Macaca fascicularis: one gene and its partners. The protein of the gene in region 2 binds, or shares a complex with, the protein of the main gene of each other region. Links are inferred from orthologs where the notes say so. Each region holds a gene or a part of one and is shown on either strand. Other genes may lie near its edges.

The links.
Region 1: the proteins of XIAP (region 2) and RIPK2 are in contact, whole or in part, in a cryo-EM structure (PDB 8AZA), measured with the Homo sapiens proteins. The link is inferred for Macaca fascicularis from reciprocal best matches to the Homo sapiens genes XIAP and RIPK2. Residues at the interface, in NP_001158.2 of Homo sapiens: Lys208, Asn209, Trp210, Glu211, Pro212, Cys213; in NP_003812.1 of Homo sapiens: His136, Asn137, Met138, Thr139, Pro141, Ile208, Asp278, Glu279, Arg280, Ser282, Lys285.
Region 3: the proteins of XIAP (region 2) and CASP7 are in contact, whole or in part, in a crystal structure (PDB 1I51), measured with the Homo sapiens proteins. The link is inferred for Macaca fascicularis from reciprocal best matches to the Homo sapiens genes XIAP and CASP7. Residues at the interface, in NP_001158.2 of Homo sapiens: His136, Ala137, Leu140, Leu141, Gly144, Gln145, Val146, Val147, Asp148, Ile149, Ser150, Asp151; in NP_001218.1 of Homo sapiens: Tyr230, Trp232, Arg233, Ser234, Pro235, Gly236, Arg237, Trp240, Glu274, Ser275, Gln276, Asp279, His281, Phe282.

What each region holds. Positions count from the first base shown.
Region 1 is NC_088382.1:99,493,182-99,497,156, forward strand, and holds the end of RIPK2 (receptor-interacting serine/threonine-protein kinase 2), read left to right. Parts: intron 1-1,418; coding exon 1,419-1,580; intron 1,581-1,702; exon of another isoform or gene 1,703-1,773; intron 1,774-2,157; coding exon 2,158-2,495; 3' UTR 2,496-3,074; downstream 3,075-3,975.
Region 2 is NC_088395.1:130,112,833-130,116,860, forward strand, and holds part of XIAP (E3 ubiquitin-protein ligase XIAP), read left to right. Parts: intron 1-3,054; 5' UTR 3,055-3,086; coding exon 3,087-3,963; intron 3,964-4,028.
Region 3 is NC_088383.1:122,773,710-122,777,737, reverse strand, and holds the end of CASP7 (caspase-7), read right to left. Parts: intron 2,446-4,028; coding exon 2,216-2,445; 3' UTR 841-2,215; downstream 1-840. UniProt on the Homo sapiens protein: Thiol protease involved in different programmed cell death processes, such as apoptosis, pyroptosis or granzyme-mediated programmed cell death, by proteolytically cleaving target proteins.

The DNA.
Region 1 (3,975 bases), on a different chromosome or scaffold from region 2:
CTGGGAGAATGTTGGTGCCATTAAAAGAAATAAAAGTTAAAACAGGTTGCGTGCGGTGGCTCACACATGTAATCCCAGAATTTTGCAAGGCCAAGGTGGGCAAATCACTTGAGGCCAGGAGTTCAAGACCAGCCTGGCCAACATGGCAAAACCCCATCTCTACTAAAAATACAAAAAAATTAGTGGGTATGATGGTGCACACCTGTAATCCCAGCTCCTCGGGAGGCTGAGGCACAAGAAACGCTTGAACCCAGGAGGCAGGGGTTGCACTGAGCTGAGATTGCGCCACTGCACTCCAGCCTGAGTGACAGAGCAAGACTCTGTCTCAATTAAAAAAAAAGAAGAAGAAGTTAAAACAAGTTTTAGAGTTAAGAAACATTACACTTTCAATGTTTTTTGTTTTTTGTTTTTAATTTGAGGTACTAGGAGCACACAAAGGGTTGATGTCCAGAGGGCTTTTGAAAATATAAGATTAAGGTTCACAGCTGGGTGTGTTGGCTCACAACTGTAATCCTAGAACTTTGGTAGGCTGAGACGGGCGGATCACCTGAGGTCAGGAGTTCGAGACCAGCCTGGCCAACATGGTGAAATCCCATCTCTACTAAAAATACAGAAATTAGCCAGTTGTGGTAGCATGGAACTGTAATCCCAGCTACTTGAGAGGCTGAGGCAGGAGAATCTCTTGAACCTGGGAGGTGGAGGTTGCAGTGAGCTGAGATCGCAACCATTGCACTCCAGCCTGGGTGACAAACTCCAAAAAATTAAAAATGGGGGGGGAGGGAGGGAGGGAGGGAGGGAGGGAAGGAAGGAAGGAAGGAAGGAAGGAAGGAAGGAAGGAAGGAAGGAAGGAAGGAGGGAGGGAGGGAGGGAGGGAGGGAGGGAGGGAGGGAGGGAGGGAAGGAAGGAAGGAAGGAAGGAAGGAGGGAGGGAGGGAGGGAAGGAAGGGAGGAAGGAAAAGAAAGAATATATAAGGCAAAAGTTCAATGAAGACAGAAAATGTAATTGTGTGGATTGGGGAATAGAGGGGATGATTAAGTCCCTGAGGCTGAGTGGGATTCCCAGAAGAGAAAGTAGAAAGACAGACATCATATATAGATTTAGAGAACATACTTAAACTTCAGAAGGAGTAAGAAGACACAGGAAAAATATGGGACTTTGTGAAGAAGTAAAATTCTATGATTTATAATTTACATAGGACAGACAATTGCTGACAGAAATTGTAGTGAAAGCATTCCATATAAACCCTTTTTTGTTTTAAGAAATATCTACTTGCAGAATTAGGTTTCTGAACTAGCCTTAATATTAGTGGAAACTAAAGACATTGGAGCCTACCTTCTGTCTGCTCAGATGTTGACATGTTAGCCAATAGGAACTTCTAAGGCATATTCCACCTCTAATGAAGATGTTGTATTTTGTAGGAAAAACTCAACACTGTTCTTTTATGATGCTGCATCGCTGTCCTGGAAATCACAGTTGGGACAGCACCATTTCTGCGTCTCAAAGGGCTGCATTCTGTGATCACAAGACCACTCCATGCTCTTCAGCAACAATAAATCCACTCTCAACTGCAGGAAACTCAGGTAAATATTTACTGTGAAACACCTTGTAAGTGATGCCATTTAGCTTACATATTTATGTTCAGTGGGTTTACCATACAGTGAGATTTATTTGTCTTTATTTCCTCAATATGATAAATACATACCTTCTTAAGTAGGAAAACAAATCCCAGGAGATGGGAACGATGACATGGCCCACATGGTGTTCTGTGAACATCTAAATAGGGAGGCAGTACTAAGAGGAGGTATTAACATATTACTAATTAACAAATTTGCAGGTATCTTTTATATTTGAAACAAAATGGACATTAAACAAAACTGAACAAATCCTAGAAGATGGGAATGACGACATAAAGTGGTTTTTGCCCCAAGATTTATACCATATAAAAAGGCAGTGCCTTTTCTGGGGAGTGAGGGGGAGATAGCCCAAATCTCTGAGTGTTTCCTGAAAAATGATAGCATTCCCCCAAATACTGGTGTTCCATATTGGCACAATCATAGGAAAATTAGGTTTTATGCTTTATTGATTTTTCATGGAATTTTACTTATTGCTATGTATCTGTCCTCACCTTTTAAATATTCATTCCTTGCTCTTTTTCAGAACGTCTGCAGCCTGGTGTCGCCCAGCAGTGGATCCAGAGCAAAAGGGAAGACATTGTGAACCAAATGACAGAAGCCTGCCTTAACCAGTCGCTAGATGCCCTTCTGTCCAGGGACTTGATCATGAAAGAGGACTATGAACTTATTAGTACCAAGCCTACAAGGACCTCAAAAGTCAGACAATTACTAGACACTACTGACATCCAAGGAGAAGAATTTGCCAAAGTTATAGTTCAAAAGTTGAAAGATAATAAACAAATGGGTCTTCAGCCTTACCCGGAAATACTTGTGGTTTCTAGATCACCATCTTTAAATTTACTTCAAAATAAAAGCGTGTAAGTGACTGTTTTTCAAGAAGAAAAGTCGTTTTATAAAAGGATATTTATATCTCTGTTGCTTTGACTTTTTTTTTAATATAAAATCCGTGAGTATTAAAAGCTTTATTGAAAGTTCTTCTTTGGGTAAATATTAGTCTCCCTCCATGACACTGCAGTATTTTTTATTAATTAATACAAGTAAAAAGTTTGAATTTTGCTACATAGTTCAATTTTTTATGTCTCTTGTTAACAGAAACCACTTTTAAAGGGTAATAATTATTATTCTTTTTCATAACAGTGCCTTAAGGTATGATGTATTTCTGATAGAAGCCATTTTCACATTCATGTTCTTCGTGGATTATTTGTTACTCGTCTAAGATGCAATTTGATTTTATGAAGTATATACCGTTTTACCCACCAGAAACAGTACAGAATCTCTGCCCTAAAATCCCAGGCTTAATTGCTCTACAAAGGCTTATTAATTTAAAACTCCATTAATAGGATTACATTTTAAAGTTTTATTTATAAATTCCCTTTAAAAAAGATATTTCAAAGGTAAAACAATACAATATAAAGAAAAAATAAATATATTAATACCGGCTGTCTGTCTCCATTTTTAACCTCAGCCTTCCCTACTGTCACCAACAACCAAGCTAAATAAAGTTAACAGCCTGATGTTTATCCTTCTGTCCCTTTCTTCCTGCTTCTATTTAGAACATATGCTCATTTGGGAAAGGATCTTTTCTGCATATTATTATTATAATAATACATCATACTGCAACCTGCTTTTTGCATTTAATAGTACAGCCTTCCAGATCAGATATGGCTCTAACTTACTCTTTTTACTTGCTGCCTAATACCCACACTGTTTTTATTTTCTTAACTTGTCCGTATCAAATTTAGCCCAAACAATAAAAGTACAGTGTGAGCACTTTTTTGGTTAATGGGTTATATTACTATATGAGAACTTACAAGGAATAATAGCCGTTATCTGAAACCGCATAGCAAAGTCAGCAGAAAGTGAGATACAGAGTAAATTTGAAAAGATGAACTTTCAAGAAGCAACAGACCCAAACCTGAAAAAAGTTTGAATAAAAGAAATTAGATGGCATTGAGGCAATTAAATATTTTATTAGAAATATAAGTATTTTAATCTACATTTTAGCGCTTGACATTAACTTGTAGCTCTTACTGTGCCTTTCAGAAATATGGAAATCTATTAATTTCCATATTTGGAAATTAAATGAAAACTGAACACATGAGTTATCTATTAAATTTTAAAAAGCATTAAGATACAAATTTTATTTGTGAAGTAAAAAATAGAGATAAAAATTCTTTTACAAGCTTTCCCTTTTCTCTATACATACTCTAAAAAGAAATTATTTTGAATATCGATGGCCTCAAATTGACTTTTATACTGATTTCATGAGGTATATCTGGATTGATAAAATGAACTTTGCCCTGTTTTTTAATTCTCTGCAAAGATCTAAAAACTCATAGTC
Region 2 (4,028 bases):
TTACAGGAGTCTGCCACCACGCCTGGCTAATTTTCTTTGTTTCTTTTTTTTTTTTTTTTAAAGTAGAGATGGGGTTTCTCCATGTTGGTCAGGCTGGTCTTGAACTTCTGACCTCAGGTGACCCACCCTCCTTGGCCTCACAAAGTCCCGGGATTATAGGCATGAGCCATTGCACCCGGCCCTTTTTTTTTTCTTTCTTTCTTTTTTTGAGATGGAGCCTCACTCTGTTGCCCAGGATGGAGTGCAGTGACATGATCTTGGCTCACTGCAACCTCCGCTGCCCGGGTTCAAGGGATTCTTCTGTCTCAGCCTCCCGAGTAGCTGGGATTACAGGTACCTGCCACCACGCCTGGCTAATTTTTGTATTTTTAGTAGAGATAGGGGTTTCACCATGTTGGCCAGGCTGGTCTCAAACTCCTGACCTCAAGTTATCCGGCTGCCTTGGCCTCCCAAAGTGCTGAGATTATAGGCATGAGTCACCGCACCCGGCCTATGCACCAGATATTTTTAAAAAACCAGATGTAAGACTTTACACTTACCCCTATTAAATGTTATCTCATTAGCCTATCAGGTAGCTTTGGTTTTTTACTTTTATTTTATTTATTTATTTATTTTTTTGAGACAAGAGTTTCGCTCTTGTTGCCCAGGCTGGAATGCAATGGTGCGATCTCCGCTCACTGCAACCTCCGCCTCCTGGGTTCAAGTGATTCTCCTGCCTCAGCCTCCCAAGTAGCTGGGATTACAGGCATGTGCCACCACGCCTGGCTAATTTTGTGTTTTTTAGTAGAGACGGTTTCACCATGTTGGTCTAGCTGGTCTCGAACTCCTGACCTCAGGTGATTTGCCCACCTTGGCTTCCCAAAGTGCTGGGATTACAGGCGTGAGCCACTATGACCGACTGGTTTTTTTCTTAAGACTAGTCAAGTGCAGAGTGAGAAGAGGGAAAAGAGTAGAACAAGGGGTTTGATCAGCCTTGGTTTCTTTGAATCTTGATTTTTGTCATTCGGTTTATTATGCTGATTCAACAAAGGGCCCTGAAGCTAATGTTGGAATGTTTTCAGACATCTAGGAAATGATAATTCATCAAAAGTCATGGAGACTATTCCAAAAGTTTTATGCAGATATAACTCAGCTGTTGAGGTATGAGTTAATACCACTATAAGTTGACATGGCCAGGAAAGACAAGTCCATTGCCAACTTGCTTTGTGTTGAACATTACTCCAAAAGAGATTAAATTCTAAGACATATTGTGTCAACATAAAGGCAAAAGAGCTGGCTAATTCTTCTCAAGAAATCAATGGCTCGACCTTTTGGCTCATGCCTGTAATCCCAGCATTTTGGGAGGCCGAGGCAGGGGATCACCTGAGGTCGGGAGTTCAAGACCAACCTGACCAACCTGGAGAAACCCGGTCTCTGCTAAAAAATACAAAATTAGCTGGGCATGGTGGTGCATGTCTGTAATCCCAGCTACTTGAGAGGTTGAGGCAGGAGAATCGCTTGAACCCAGGAGGCAGAGGTTGCAGTGAGCCAAGATCACACTATTGCACTCCAGCCGGGGCAACAAGAGCAAAACTCCATCTCAAAAAAAAAAAAAAAAAATCAATTAATGCACATATAATATAGAGACAGAGTCCTTGTTACCATTATTTTGCCTTTGACAAGTTTATATTGAGCACATTATCAGGCAATGTGGGAGATTCTGGAGAACCAGGTTTGCCTCATAGCTAGGGTTACCATATGCTCTAGTTTGCCTGGGGCAACCCTGATTTATGCCTGTTGTCCCAGTGTGATTATTGCTAGTGTGATTTTTCACTTTGAGAAGTGTCCAGGTTTGGAAGATAAATTATCTTGCTATCCTTCTCATAACCTAATGGGTTCTCTTTAGTATTTTATCTGGGTTAAAATTACACAGCTGTAATTTGGCAGCTCTAATAAGACTGCAACAATACTTATCTTCCATTTGAACAGATTGTTACTTGACCAAGGGGAAGTTTTTTTTTTTTTTTTTTTTTTTTTTTTTTTTTTTTTTTTTTGAGGCGGAGTCTCGCTCTGCCGCCCAGGATGGAGTGCAGTGTTGCGATCTCGGCTCACTGCAAGCTCGGCCTCCTGGGTTCACGCCATTCTCCTGCCTCAGCCTCCCCAGCAGCTGGGACTACAGGCGCCCACAACCATGCCCGGCTAATTTTTTGTATTTTTAGGTGAGACGGGGTTTCACCCTGTTAGCCAGGATGGTCTCAATCTCCTGACCTCGTGATCCGCCCGCCTCGGCCTCCCAAAGTGCTGGGATTACAGGCATGAGCCACTGCGCCTGGCTACCAAGGGCAGTTAATAGCAAAAGTAACTGCAGGGCACATGTATGTCATGGGCAAAAAAAAAAAAAAAAAAAGCAATTAAGGTTTGCAGGTACTTAGAGTTTCTCCTGAGCCACTCTCTAGAGGGCAGTATTACATATATATCTGTAATTATCCAGTTACAACAAAAAAGGGGATCTGGTTCATGCATGAAAATCAGAAATATTTCATACTCTTAAAGAACACATTGGAACCAATATTATGATTAAAACATATTTTGCTAAGCAAAGAAATATTAAAATTAATTCATTAACATTCTGAACATTTTTTAATTTGTAAAAACTGAACTTTGATGCCTTGAATATATAATGATTCATTATAACAATTACGCACAGACTTTAATAATCTGCATATTTTATGCTTCTTTCATGTTTTTCCTAATTAATGATTTGACATGGTTAATAATTATAATATATTCTGCATCACAGTTTACATATTTATGTAAAATAAGCATTTAAAAATTATTAGTTTTATGCTGCCTGCTTAAATATTACTTTCCTCAAAAAGAGAAAACAAAAATGCTAGATTTTACTTTATGACTTGAATGATGTAATGTTAAACCCTAGTATTTAGAATTAGAATGTTTCTTAGCAGTTGTGTAGTTATTTTTATGTCATAAGTGATAATTTGTTAGCTCCTATAACAAAAGTCTATTGCTTGTGTTTCACATTTTGGATTTCCTAATATAATGTTCTCTTTTTAGAAAAGGTGGACAAGTCCTATTTTCAAGAGAAGATGACTTTTAACAGTTTTGAAGGATCTAAAACTTGTGTACCTGCAGACATCAATAAGGAAGAAGAATTTGTAGAAGAGTTTAATAGATTAAAAACTTTTGCAGATTTTCCAAGTAGTAGTCCTGTTTCAGCATCAACACTGGCACGAGCAGGGTTTCTTTATACTGGTGAAGGAGATACCGTGCGGTGCTTTAGTTGTCATGCAGCTGTAGATAGATGGCAATATGGAGACTCAGCAGTTGGAAGACACAGGAAAGTATCCCCAAATTGCAGATTTATCAATGGCTTTTATTTTGAAAATAGTGCCACGCAGTCTACAAATTCTGGTATCCAGAATGGTCAGTACAAAGTCGAAAACTATCTGGGAAGCAGAAATCATTTTGCCTTAGACAGGCCATCTGAGACACATGCAGACTATCTTTTGAGAACTGGGCAGGTTGTAGATATATCAGACACCATATACCCGAGGAACCCTGCCATGTATAGTGAAGAAGCTAGATTAAAGTCCTTTCAGAACTGGCCAGACTATGCTCACCTAACCCCAAGAGAGTTAGCAAGTGCTGGACTCTACTACACAGGTATTGGTGACCAAGTGCAGTGCTTTTGTTGTGGTGGAAAACTGAAAAATTGGGAACCTTGTGATCGTGCCTGGTCAGAACACAGGCGACACTTTCCAAATTGCTTCTTTGTTTTGGGCCGGAATCTTAATATTCGAAGTGAATCTGATGCTGTGAGTTCTGATAGGAATTTCCCAAATTCAACAAATCTTCCAAGAAATCCATCCATGGCAGATTATGAAGCACGGATCATTACTTTTGGGACATGGATATACTCAGTTAACAAGGAGCAGCTTGCAAGAGCTGGATTTTATGCTTTAGGTAAACTTTATTATAAAACCAATAAATAGCTTCCCAACTTTGCCAGGGCTCGTAAAAAGTAAATA
Region 3 (4,028 bases), on a different chromosome or scaffold from region 2:
GTTAAAAGGCAAATAACTAGATTGTATGGTGTTACTTCAAATTGCAATGCTCTTAGGCCCTTTGATTTCTGTGATAGAGACCTTTATTAGATAGCTTATTTTCCAAAGAACAGCCTGAGAATTCTGGGAATAGCAGTGTGGATGCTTGTTATGATCTCCAATTTTGAACATTTGGAATATTTTAGATGGCAGAAAACCAGGGACAAGTCTAATAAATGCACCCAAAATTAGTTTTCTTATTTGAAAGATACTTTTATGTTATCTGATTTTACTGCCAAAATTAATAAATGGCAGCCCATCACAAACATCTTTCTAAGTTGATTAACCCTTTATGTGAAGAGTCCTGGCTTCCCAAGTAATTACTTACTTATTAGTGTACTAACTTCAAAAACATTATATTATATATTGAGGTCAAGTCAATAGGGTCAATTCTTCTTCATCTTTTTTTTTTTTTTTTTTTTTTTTTTTTTTTTTGAGACAGAGTCTCACTCTGTCGCCTAGGCTGGAGTGCAGTGGCTCGACCTTGGCTCACTGCAACCTCCATTTCCTGGGTTCAAGCGATTATCCTGCCTCAGCCTCCTGAGTAGCTGGGACTACATACAGGTGCCCACCACCATTCCCAGCTAATTTTTTTGTATTTTTAGTAGAAGTGGGGTTTCATCATGTGGGCCAGGCTGGTCTCGAACTCCTGACCTCAAATGATCCACCCACCTCGGCCTCCTAAAGTGCTGGGATTACAGGCGTAAGCCACTGCGTCCAGCCAATAGGGTCAATTCTTACCCTGTTTTCTCATTTCTCCATTGTCATAAATGACTTCAAAAGGAAAGCAAACCGGACAGGTTAGGAATTAAGCAACCACATTTTTAATCAATACATATGAACATTTGTTTGTTAACCAGTTACTATTAGGCAGAAAAAAACAGTCATTTATCAAGATTTCAAAAGATAACACCACCTTGAAAATAAAGTGCCAAAAATCTTTGCCATAAATTCTTCCTCACTTATAGAACTAAAATTAACAAATATTTACTCAAAATAAGGCTTGGAATTATCTAAAAAGTTCCAGATATATTTTAAAGATTTAACAGATTTTGCACATAAAGCCAAGACAGATTGTTTTACACATACATAGACTATCTGACAACCCAATGAATAAATGATTGAATGGATGAATTGTTGAGCATTAGTGATTACTTATGTTCACATTATGGGCCAGGCTTACATCCATTTCTTGTTCTTCTCCTGCCTCACTGTCCCTTGCTCTTCCAAGGCCCTTGGTAAGGTGGCTTCCAGGTAGGCCTGGGCGGTAAGGTGCTGGTGGAAGATGTGAGGGCAGGAGAGGTGAGACCAAGGTATTCTCTGTATCTGACTCAGTTCAATCCATCTCAGGCAGTGGCTTTGTCCTTGTCATGGCTCCACTTCCCACAATCCATTAGTGGTCCTACCTCCCACTAGGCAGCCCCCACCATGGTTCCAGCTCCTCTGGATGATCCTACTACTAGACTCAGGAAACCAAACCTCTTCCCATTATCGTCACAGCCCTGGGTGTGTTAACAGCTTCTTGCTATTTGGCTTCTCTTTTATCATCTATGTAAGTCAATTTCCTGTATTAAATTCCCTCTGTTGAAACACCTAGAATGGTTTCTGTTTTCCAGACGGGATCCTGATGGATACATATCAGAATCATTTAGCTTTTTCTCCTCTTATCTGGAAATTTTTGCATGAAAATCTGCCCTAAGCCAGTGAAAAATCATTCAAATCACACTCAATACCCACATTCTGCAATAAAGGTCAGTAAATATCCCCTTGGCTGTGTTTTGTCAAATACTGGGATTCTCTTTGCCAAGTGCAAACATGACTCTGCCTACCACTGTTACCACCAATTACAGAGGACACAGCCACAAGCTTTCTCCAGAGGTCACTTTTGTTGCATGTATTAAGTCTAATAGGTAAAAGACATACAAAGAGAAAATTAATCTTAAGAGAAAGTTACACAGTTACCAAATGAATAACATTATTTAAAAAGTCTCTGAAAATTCAGAGAACAAAAGACAGCACCAGAAAGTTTCTTCCCTGTTGAATCAATACATTTTCCCGAAATGAAAATTCTGGAGAATTTCTGAATACTTCAAGAGCATCAAAAAAAAAAAAAAAAAAATCTGATTCATTAGTGATTGATCCATTGCTTCTCAGCTAGAATGCACCCCTGATATGGCTAATGACTGAAGTAGAGTTCCTTGGTGAGCATAGAGACCACACAGGGGATCTGCTTCTTCTCATGGAAGCGTGGGTCATCACACTGAGACTCAAAGTGCCTGGCGACTCTGTCATTCACCCTGGTGAGGATCTGCATGATCTCCAGGTCTTTCCCGTGCTCCTCCAGGATGGAGCAGAGGGCTTGCACAAACCAGGAGCCTCTTCCTGGGCTCCTCCACGAGTAATAGCCTTCAACAGGAAAGAAAGGAGATAATCAAATCAGCTAATTCTGACAGCTGCTCCACTCACCAATGAGACTGACTCTATGGGGCTTTTACACCTGCTTTTCAGAAATGATTTCACTCTACTCTGCACACAAGTCATTAATGAGAATTATGCTGGTGTGCTCAGAGAGCAAACATCTGAGATTTAGAGGGTTGGCATGAAGATGCTAGAAAATGCTTTGGGTACTTCACTACGGAAATCCTATGACAGACAACATCACTAAGGGCCAGCCTTGGTGGATGGTGCCAGGGTACTCTCCTGTGTTAGCCTGATGGAGGTACCCACCTGATATATATCAGATACATGAGTGTGAAACAGATCTGCACATGCAGACTTCCAAAGGAAATGCTGGAGGTCTATTCCATAACTCTGGAACTCCTCACTACCCTTTGGGGGTCAGTGCTACTTTCGAATCCAAATCTACTAGAGAAGGAATTTGCAGGGAACCTTGAAGATTTCTGAGATGTGTTCCTGCTGCTGGGGTACATGGGAGTAGAGTTGGACCTTGCTGAAGAAATCCAGAGGCACGAGGAAGCTGAATGCCCAACTGTCTGAGGGGCAGGGCCAGGAGAGCCTGATGCCCTGGGAGGACAAATCTCATCCTATAACTCCCTAACCTAAAACAGTTTGCTTGCACCACTTTATCTGGGTCAAGTTCAGGCTGCTTGACACAGCACACAGGGCCCGCCATGACAGGGCCACTTGCCTACCTGTCCTGGTTTGATCCTGGCCATGCCCTGTCACATCCAATGCTATGGACTGAACTATGTCTTCCCAAAATTCATTTATCGAAGCTGCACTCCATAATGTGACTGTGTTTAGAGGCAGGGTCTTTATGGAGGTAATTAAAGTCCGATGAGGTCACTAGGGTAGGGCTCTGATCCAAGGGGATTGGTGTCCTTATAAGAAGAGACACGAGAGACCTCACTCATTCTTGCTCTCAATCTCTGCCATATGAGGCTATAGCAAGAAGGTGACCATTTATGAGCTAGAAAGGGAGCCCTCACCAGAAAGTGACTTAGCCGACACCTTGATGTAGGACTTCCCAGCCTCCCTAACTTAAGAGAAATAAATGTCTGTTGTTTAAGCCACCTTGTCTAAGGTATTTTGCTATAGCAGCCCAAGAAGACTGATATACGCTGCGATCCAGCCCCGAGTTTTACCAAATGCACTGGGCTATCCGGCCCCTCAGTACTCCGTCGACAAGCCCTTCTCTTACCCATGTCGTTTGGAATTTTAGGCTCAGTTACAGCAGCTTCTTTTTTTATTGAGACAGAGTCTCACTCTGTCGCCCAGGCTGGAGTGCAGTGGCACGATCTCGGCTCACTGCAAGCTCCACCTCCCGGGTTCACGCCATTCTCCTACCTCAGCCTCCCGGGTAGCTGGGATTACAGGTGCCCGCCACCATGCCCCACTATTTTCTTTTTTTTTTTTTGTATTTTTAGTAGAGATGGGGTTTCATCATGTTAGCCAGGATGGTCTCAATCTCCTGACCTTGTGATCCACCTGCCTCGGCTTCCCAAAGTGCTGGGATTACAGGCGTGAGC